2 linked regions of the Oryzias latipes genome follow. The protein of the gene in region 1 purifies or fractionates together with the protein of each later gene. This does not show direct contact. Links are inferred from orthologs where the notes say so. Each region holds a gene or a part of one and is shown in the gene's direction. Other genes may lie near its edges.

Evidence for each region.
Region 2: the proteins of nckipsd (region 1) and gemin2 purify together in Homo sapiens (co-immunoprecipitation; 3 studies listed by BioGRID and IntAct, counting the BioPlex papers as one, with this or other methods). This does not show direct contact. The link is inferred for Oryzias latipes from reciprocal best matches to the Homo sapiens genes NCKIPSD and GEMIN2.

The regions. Positions count from the first base shown.
Region 1 is NC_019863.2:1,717,775-1,722,481, forward strand, and holds the start of nckipsd (NCK-interacting protein with SH3 domain), read left to right. Parts: upstream 1-1,829; 5' UTR 1,830-2,138; coding exon 2,139-2,309; intron 2,310-3,820; coding exon 3,821-3,933; intron 3,934-4,007; coding exon 4,008-4,221; intron 4,222-4,707. Other genes in the region: ndufaf3 (NADH dehydrogenase [ubiquinone] 1 alpha subcomplex assembly factor 3), read right to left, coding at 17-142. UniProt on the Homo sapiens protein: Has an important role in stress fiber formation induced by active diaphanous protein homolog 1 (DRF1). Induces microspike formation, in vivo. In vitro, stimulates N-WASP-induced ARP2/3 complex activation in the absence of CDC42.
Region 2 is NC_019880.2:19,643,382-19,647,813, reverse strand, and holds the start of gemin2 (gem-associated protein 2), read left to right. Parts: upstream 1-1,579; 5' UTR 1,580-1,711; coding exon 1,712-1,833; intron 1,834-2,737; exon of another isoform or gene 2,738-2,752; coding exon 2,753-2,837; intron 2,838-2,966; coding exon 2,967-3,056; intron 3,057-3,140; coding exon 3,141-3,200; intron 3,201-3,281; coding exon 3,282-3,398; intron 3,399-4,432. Other genes in the region: transport and Golgi organization protein 1 homolog, read right to left, coding at 761-894, 1,037-1,157. UniProt on the Homo sapiens protein: The SMN complex catalyzes the assembly of small nuclear ribonucleoproteins (snRNPs), the building blocks of the spliceosome, and thereby plays an important role in the splicing of cellular pre-mRNAs.

The DNA.
Region 1 (4,707 bases):
TGGGTTTGGGTCTGACATTCCACTGCAGGATAGCGGGAGGCAGGAGGGCGCAGGGTCCGAACACGCGGTTTCCATCCACGTTGAAGCCCGCTGGGCTGTAGCTGTGGATCAGGATCCCATTGTCTGCTTCCTTCCTCATCATGGACACCGTGGTTCGCTGGTAAAACTCATCATCTCCAGGCTCTAACCGATACGCACGAGACAACAATGGGCTGCACCAAGAAACGACTGAATTAAAAACAAAACTATTGGCTGGAGATGCTTTGGGGTTTATTAAGCACTTCAGATGTTTTAAAGGAATTAAACTGTCGCTAAAGTTGCTAAAACGTTTGATTTGTTTCAAGATAACTAAGCTGAAGAAGATGAAAACAAATACAATTTGAAGGCAGCAAAAGAATGCAATTCCTAGTTTTACCTAAGCCTCTACCTCTTGCTGAGAGCTCTCTGTGTCCACCCTTCCACTAGCTTACAGCCCCGCACAACCCTAACCTAACATCACTAATGCAACAGAAATAACCACCAACATCGGAGCTGTCCAGTCGTTCAGTTTGGATCCAACTCAGATGAGGAAAACAAAGACGTTCGTGGATCTATTTGTCTGCATCAGAATGGAGCAGAGCAGGAAGCTCGTGTCGAACCAATCGCAGCATCTAGACCACAAATATGATCTTTGGGAAACGACACTTTCTTTTGCTCCTGATTCACAACAATTTATAGTAAGAAACGCTCAGTAAAATACTTTTTTAATTTCTTAAAATATGTCCTATACCACAAAAACATGTTAAAGACAAGAAAAACATAATTGTTATCGAAGTGGGTCTTTAAAAGAAAACACACCAACTAGATTTTATATATTCTTTAAAAAAAAAAAAAAAAAAACATCAAGGGGAACCAAGACATTAATTTGAAAGAAAAGTACTAAAATAAATCAGCAAAATCTGTTTGAGATGGACTGAACATATGAAAAAGGTTCACAAATGTTAAAATTGTCACAATGACAACTTATTCTAAACCAATTCTCAAATTTAACAGCATAATGGGCGCTTAAGTTCTCATAACTAAAAAAAAAAGGTTGATTATGAAGCTTTTCTGTTTATTTGTAATGCTCACGAGACTGCTTACTAAATTAATTTAAAAAAAATGAGCAAATTGAAAGAAAAGCCGAAATTAAGCAATCACTATCCCATCCATACCCTTCATCTTGTTTCATCACAACACAAGTTTAAATGTCATTGCCAAATGTTCTCACGTGATCAGAATCTCACAGTCAGAGTTATTTATCTCTAAAGCTTTATATTTATATTATTAAGATTAGTCAGAAACCCCCGTAGTACCTGGAGAAAGCAGGTGCTGCCCTGAAGGACAACAGGAGGCCCTGAGAAGACTTCTGCAGCAGAAACCTGCTGCAAACTGCTGCGGCCATGTCTGAGAGGAGCCGGCGACACACACGGGGGAAGGATTTCAGTGTGACACCACCGTCGGTGTCATGTCTGATGGAGTAACCGGCGACACACACGGGGGAAGGATTTCAGTGTGACACCAGCGTCGGTGTCGAGAACCGCACAATCAAACTCTTCTCACTTTTTCACTAAAAACAAATTCATAAAATAAAACAGTTAAATTAATTCATGTGACGAGTTTTAACCAGTCTGACGGGGAATCAATTTGAGGTTATTTTGTGAATCACAAAAATCCATTAATGTTATTAGTCTGAGAAAAGGGGTGTTCAATGTTGTCCTCAATCTTTGGACAATTTTCAATCTTGAGGTTAATTATAAACATTTTAAACTGTAGATAATGAAAAAAATGAAAGTGCAAAGATAATATGGATAATTAAATCGCCCCTAATACCAGAAATTAGACTCTTTTGCAAAAGTATATCTGGAATATTTTGGAGAGTCGCTCTGATTTTGATTAGCGTGCCTGGTGGGCGTTTCGAGCACAGCGCCCTCTGGTGGCGTGTATTGGTATTAATCGGTCAGGTGACCCCACCGTTGTAAATAGACTTCAGCGAGCCTCTGCAGACATGCCTTTTTAGTCCCTTTAAACCGCCAACAGCACAGCAAACGTTTCCGCTAGGGCTCAGTTTTTCTCCCGCACAGCTTTTCTGCCGCTCGTTGACGGAGCTGTAGGGAATCATGTACCGCTCTCTGTATCCCTTCCGATCCACGGAGCCCAACTCGCTGTACTTCGCGGCCGGAGAGAGCTTTCTCATCCTGGAAAGGAGCAACAAACACTGGTGGCTGGGATCCCGCTGCAGCTCGGGGGAGACCGGATACATCCCCTCTTCGTACATCGAAAAAATACAGGTACGTGTACGCCACAGACCCCGCGGTGCCGGTGAGGACACCGACGAGGCGGTGGGGTTTGACCGCCAGTACGGGGGGGGTGAAGGCGGACCCGGAGATGCAGCAGGCCGTGTCCGAGCCGGCTGGAAAAAACGCGCCGCAAAACAAGGAATTCTGGGAAGTTTGGTTATTTTTGCCACTGCGCAGGTGACACGCTGCCATTCACTTATGTACTTCATTCTACACAATACAATGCAACAAAAAATACATATTTTTGAGTAATAAAAATAAACACCATTTACAGTTTCCTCCCAAAAACGTTATTAACAATCGGCTATTGACAATCGGTCAAGAAAGCCCTACAAATGCTGTGCAGCACATCAGCAATCAAATCAATTCAAACTAATTTTATTTCTAAAGCACCTTTCATGTAAAGAAAACAGCTCATGGTGCTGTACAGAAACACCCACACACCCACACACACACACACACACACACACACACACACGCGCGCACACACACACACACACACACACACACACACACACACACACACACACACACACACACACACACACACACAAACACAAGTAAAAGAGAAATTACAAAAACCAAAAGAAGAAGAAGAAGCAAAAAGCTCAAGAAGAGAGAACCCAGAGAGAAAATCATCAGTCTGGAGGTTTTCATGGTCTTACTAAAAATGCAAAGACAAACATAGAATGACAGTTTCTTGTAGCCGTCATATTTTGCATATGTTCCTATGTCGTGTTAAATGATTTTAAGACCAAATAGAATAAAGTAAAACAAGGTTGTGAATTGGACCATTTACTGTAGTAAATGTAGAATTTCCGCAAAATAAAAAAAACTGTTAAATAGTAAAAATGACGTTTCTGGACATGACATCAAAAATATTCAGATAAATCTGATGTCAAACCTTAAATGAAACTTCTTTTATTGTTTTATTTTTCCTATTTATAAATATTAATTAAAGGTTGCATTTAAAATCCAGTTTTTACTGCAACAAAAATATATTTCTTCAAATTTACGCCTAAATGTCTTAACAGAGTTAGTTTTTTTTCTTTATCTTTGTATTTTGTTTATCTTCCTATGATTGCTTGATTATAATCAACGACGTCAGGAAACGTCCAGAGGTTTTGGGGCCAGACAACAGCTCACCGATGGATCTGGGATCTTTGCCAACAGCATTTCAGAATCAGCCGTCTGTCTCCTCTGAGTCACTCCTCCTGTGTCTGGATGCAGGCGTTGGGTGAACCGGTCCCAGCCCGTTTGTGGAAGACGGGCCTGCTCACACTGGCAGAAGAGGAATGCTCTCCTCTGCCACCATCACAGAGCTTTAACCCCCCACGTTAACATTGAGAGTGGGGTCATCTGGACCCCACAGGACAGCCCAAGGGTTTGAATGACGGTTGCAATGCTGTTCTCATTTCTTTTGGCCAGAAGGCGTTCAAGCCCTTAAATGATGTCCTGATAATTCAGCTCCTTCATCTGCTCCCTCTTCTTCTCCGTCTCAGGCTCCCGAGCAGGATGAGGTGCTGCTGTCCATCGACAGAGCCATTGAGGGAATCCACAACGTGGCCTTGAAAAACGGCGGCAAATACAATCTGGAGCAGCGGGACGTTCTGCAGTGAGTTGAAGGCACGGACGTCACGTGGGGCCGTCGACCTCCGCACAAACGTTGGGTTTTCCTCTGTGTCGCAGGAAGTTGATCCATCACAGGAAGGAGACTCTGGCCCGCAGAACCCCCTCCTCCGCGGGCCACAAACCGGGTCTGCCGTCGTCCAACAGCGAGATTTCGCTCAGCCAGACCCCGCCTCCTCCTCCCAACGGCCTGAAACGGGAGTACGGGCGGCAGGGCAGCATGCCGTTCTCGGGCAGCATGGACAGCATGCAGGGAGAGCAGGGCTTCTACCAGGTAACGTCCTCGTCCGGCCCCCACCCACCTGCAGTTCTGCTGCCCCACCTGTGGGGGGGTTATGGAAAGAAAACCCTACTTTAACCAACACTGAAGTTGAGTCAGGAGAAACGATAACTGTTCCCAAAATACTGAACAATAGATTTTAAATTAAAAGATACATTTTTAAAAATTTTTTTTCAAGTTTTGTTCTTTTTCTTTTAAGAAAAATGTAAATCTTTAGCAGAGATTTGACCCTTTTAACTTTGTGAAGGTTTGTTCAGATTTTTCATGACGTATTGTCCCATTTGTGTGTGTTCTGCTATCTAGAACACACATAGATTGTTTCTATTCCCTTTCTGGATTTATTAAGTACTTTTGGATCGATTTCATCAGGACGGATTCTCTGAATTGCTGCCATTTTTTCCCTTCCTTTTTAGAAGAAAACTCAACAAAAAACTAAATTCAAACTGATTTTGATTTTCATTTCATTCCATTTTTTCATTT
Region 2 (4,432 bases), on another chromosome or scaffold:
ATTTCCCTCAACAAACACAAACAACCTTTACAAGTGAATATAAAAGAAAAAAATAAAGTGATAAAAAAAGGAGACAGTTATTTTGATGTTGAATATTCCATTGGGTTAAGATTGGAATTATTGCTTTTATTTTTATCTTTTAAAGTTTTAAGACTTTTTTTTATCCATTAATTCTACTTTAATGGCAAAAGACACTGAAAAACCACAATGAGGCTGTGTCATTTTTTTCTTTGGAGATTAAAACAAATGTTGGTCCTTTTGATTTTTAGATCCAAGAATATAAAAGTAAGAAGTTCTGGGAATGTTTATATTTTAAAAAATTGCTTAGTTCTGGTATCTTACTTTTCTGAGATATGTGAAACTTAAATGCTGAAAAGCAACAAGCTTTTGATAAGATGCTCTGAAACTAAAGAAATCAAAATCTAATTCATATTTAACAGGTCAAAAACACAAAAATTAGATTAGATTCAATATTATTGTCATTGCGTGAGTACAAGAACAGGCATCAAAATATTAAATTCTAACAGAATTTTCAAATTAGTTTAAACATGACTATATTTAAACATTCAAAATAAAACTCTTCCATCCAACGGTTAAATGAAAGTCAAAGATGTCAGCATCCCAAATAAACACTAAGGCTTTTTGTATAATAAGGAATATTGTTTTGTTCAACCAAAGACCTTGGATAAGGGACAATTTACATTAAGGTTTCATGATAAGGAGGCGACAGAGATATAAAAGAGATGAAAATTGGACATACACTGCCTGCCCACAGATCCTCCCTCTTTCCTGTAAGTTTGTGGTAGACAAAAATGATATCTCCACGTCTGAAGCTTAGAAAACGGCAGTCGTTACTCTTGTGGTCCCTTATGGCCTGAACCCTGCTCATTAGGCCTACACACACAAACACAAGTGATCAGTTGCATTAAAATGATTAAAATGTCTTTAATAAACCAACTAAGCTAAATTCATGCATAAAATATAACAGTATTTTTTAGGAACTTCAAACTATTTTGACACAAGTGTTTGGACTTACTTTCACACTCAGAATCTCCACAGATCTTGTAGTCGGATAACATTCCTGGATTTATAAGAGGCAAAATCACAAACGTTAGACCCACAATCCAACAGAATTTATGTAGCAGGGAAACATCCATTTTGGGTGCTTTAGCTGGAGTGTATCATAGAAAAAGTCCCATATTTGAGAAGAAATCCCTTTGACCTGCTGTTCAGGAAAGTGGACATTGACTCTGTGCTGTTTCTCTCATGAAACCTCACTAGTGGTAAACGAAAGAATGGAGATAAGATATAACGCTAGCATGAAGCTAATAATTAACAACGTTGCTCGTAACCTGATTGCAGAACAAAACAATTTAGCTCTAATGTCAAAAGTTTATTTTTTTCATTCACCAACTTGATTTGAAATTTTTTTATTTATTAAACAGCTTCTGCGGTTGAATTGAGGTATAATAAACGTGTTTAAATGCGCAACATAAAATGCTCGTGGACTTCGTTCCTTGTCGCTGCCAAAGTTTCAGGCGCTGTCACGTCACTATGGAAACAAATCTCGCCTCGCGCACAAAATTGGCGTCATCAAATCTAGTTTGAAAAACAAAATGGCGCTTGTTGGACAACAGTAAATACTAGCATCTGCCTAGTCTTCGTTTTAATGTCCTGATTTCGCTTAAGAGTTTTACATTATTAGCGGAAAATGAAGTCGGATGTTGAGGAGTTAATGCCAAGGCTGCTTCCGGTGGAGTTAGGACAAGACACCGAGCACGTAGACCTCAGCGGTCCACCGAGGAACCCCCAGGAGTACTTGCGACAGGTCCAGTAAGTTCTCCCTTCTGTTCTCATTAAAGTGGAAAGCCAGTGTTTTCATAATTAAAATGCTTTAGAATAGCAAAGCATTGGTATAAAAAAAATTGTATAAAACCAAAGTTCCTATTTACAGTCTATGTATCGAACCGTGGAATTAGCTCTCCACTTAGTATATTTAAGTGTTTCTGTTGTTTCTTTTCAACAAACTTTATTATCAATACTTATTGTATTAACTGAATAGAATAATATAGGTAAAAGAAAACACTACACAGGTTGCACAACACGTGCCACCTGTACTTTAATAATCAGTCCAGTCCAATTATTTTTGAACATAGAATATAAGTAAATAAAATATAATATGCCGTTTCTTTAAAATATCAAATGTTCTTGTCGCCTTCAATATGGACTGCTTATATGTATGAATGAGGAATGTCCCAAAAATAATGAACAGTTCAGTAACAAAACTTACCTTTTTGGGCAAACCATGTAATTAAAAATATAATATGACATTAAAAAAAGAATTCAGAGAGTTATATTAAATTTTGTGGTTATAAATTCACGCAGATCCGACCAAAATTGCTTGGTGTACATAGAAAGAATAAATAAATGAAAATTGTCTCCTTACTTGATTGGCAAAAAACAAAATTGTTCTGTTTATTTTAAATCTTCTTAGTGTATCTTTAACTGGGTAGAAAGCAAAATAAAACCTATTTTATTTTAATATTAATACAGTATTTATGAACAGAAGTATTAGTCTTTTCCCAATTTAAATCACCCATGGTTGAATACCAAAAAGATTTAGCAGCAAGAAATTCAACTTCTTCTAATAAAAAGATTATTGATTTCAACATCTGTGAATGACTCGTTTTAGAAATTGAAGAGAAGATATTAGCTGTGTTTCCCAGTGACCCCTCACCTCCTTGTGATGTAGGTTGGAAGCGTCCATGTGTCCAGAGGTGGTGGTTGCTCAAATTGACCCTAAGAAACTAAAGAAGAAGCAAACAGTCCATGTATCTGTAAGTGAAAATCTATTTATTTGGTCAAATCTTTATTTGTTAAGGCTTTGTCTGTGTGGTGAGGTCATGTATAGTTGACTCTGCAGCCAAGAGACATGATAATCTGGAAAACCATATTTTCTGTCTCAGGTAGCTGGGTGCCACGCTCCCCCAGTAGGTTTCTCCCCCAGCCTTCACTGGCAACAACAACAAGTCAGTAATTTTTCTGACGTGAGACGGGTAAGAAAAACTAAAAGAACAGTGTGTTGCTTTTATATCTCACTTATATTTCTGCTTATAATGTCTAATTTTTTAATTTACTAGAGCATCACCAAGAATAGAAAACATTGGAGCAGCCAGACTCTGGATAATAATGTACGCATGGTAAGATGTCAAATCCCGCTGCAATGTTAGCAAAGGTCAAAGGTGCTCATTTGCATAATATTTAAGTGTGATCTTTTACAGCCAAACCTTACAGATGAGGAGGGCTGGAAGAAGTTTTGTTTAGGAGAGAGGATCTACTTGGGCGCATCAGCCTGCCCCACAGATGCAAAACCAGAGGCAGAACTGGACTATAGCAAGGTTGTCAACTAAACTGTTGTTAGAATTTTTAAACGCCAAAGTTTTGAAACAAAAAGTTTCAAATAAGACTTTTTTTCTTTTTTGTTAACTTGTTCTGTCCAACAGCTGAGCAAACAGATCAGAGCTGAAGGCCTCTTGTGTTTGAGAGATTTTACTGTTACAATAGGGGGTCATGAATCTTCTGACACACAAGGGGTATATTTATTTAAACTCTTCTGTATTTGAGGGTAAACTTTATTTATATTGATTATGTTTGTATACCTGTTTTGAAAAGGGAAAAGGGGGGGGGGGTTAAAGGAAGTTGGAGCATGATCAAAGAAGTAGAGTGGGGGTAGATTCAGAATCATAAAGCAAAAAGTTGCTGGAGGTTTATCATTATTACTGTCAGATTAAGGCATTAGTCAAAAGGAGCTAACAGGTATGTTACAAACATACCTGTGTGAAATCTTCACATTCCATATGTCAACACATACACGATACAACTACAGCTCACACAAAAATACTTATGCATACATAAAGAGAGAGGAGCCAAGAAAGCACACCAACTTGACCGAGGCAGTTTGACCAGCCAGGGCTCTCCATGATTGTCTCATTGCTGACCCCAACCCTCTGTAGTCCCATCCTGATGGAGGACCCCCTTCCCAGAGGACAGAGCCAACCAGTCTACCAGCCCCCCCCCCCCCCCCCCCCCCCCCCCCCCCCCCCAGATCCTGCAGCCATGGCAGGTGTCACCCAGAGCAACTGCAAACCCCAAGAGGGTTGCCCCACCCCGTCCCAGGACCAGAAGAGTGCAGAGGTGCAGGCCCAGGGTCTCCTGCACCTGGGCCTGCACCTCCTCCTCCTGTCCTAACCCCCCCTGAAAAGACCACTCCCCAAGCCAAGCCAGACCCCCTCAACCGCACCGACCAAACTCTCCCAAGACCATGCAGTACCCCCACCTGCCCACTTCCAGGCGCCCAACCAGGTCCCCCTAACTAACGAAGCCTCCACTGCCCCCCTCCAGCCCCAGAAATAAGGCACTTTAATAGGCATGT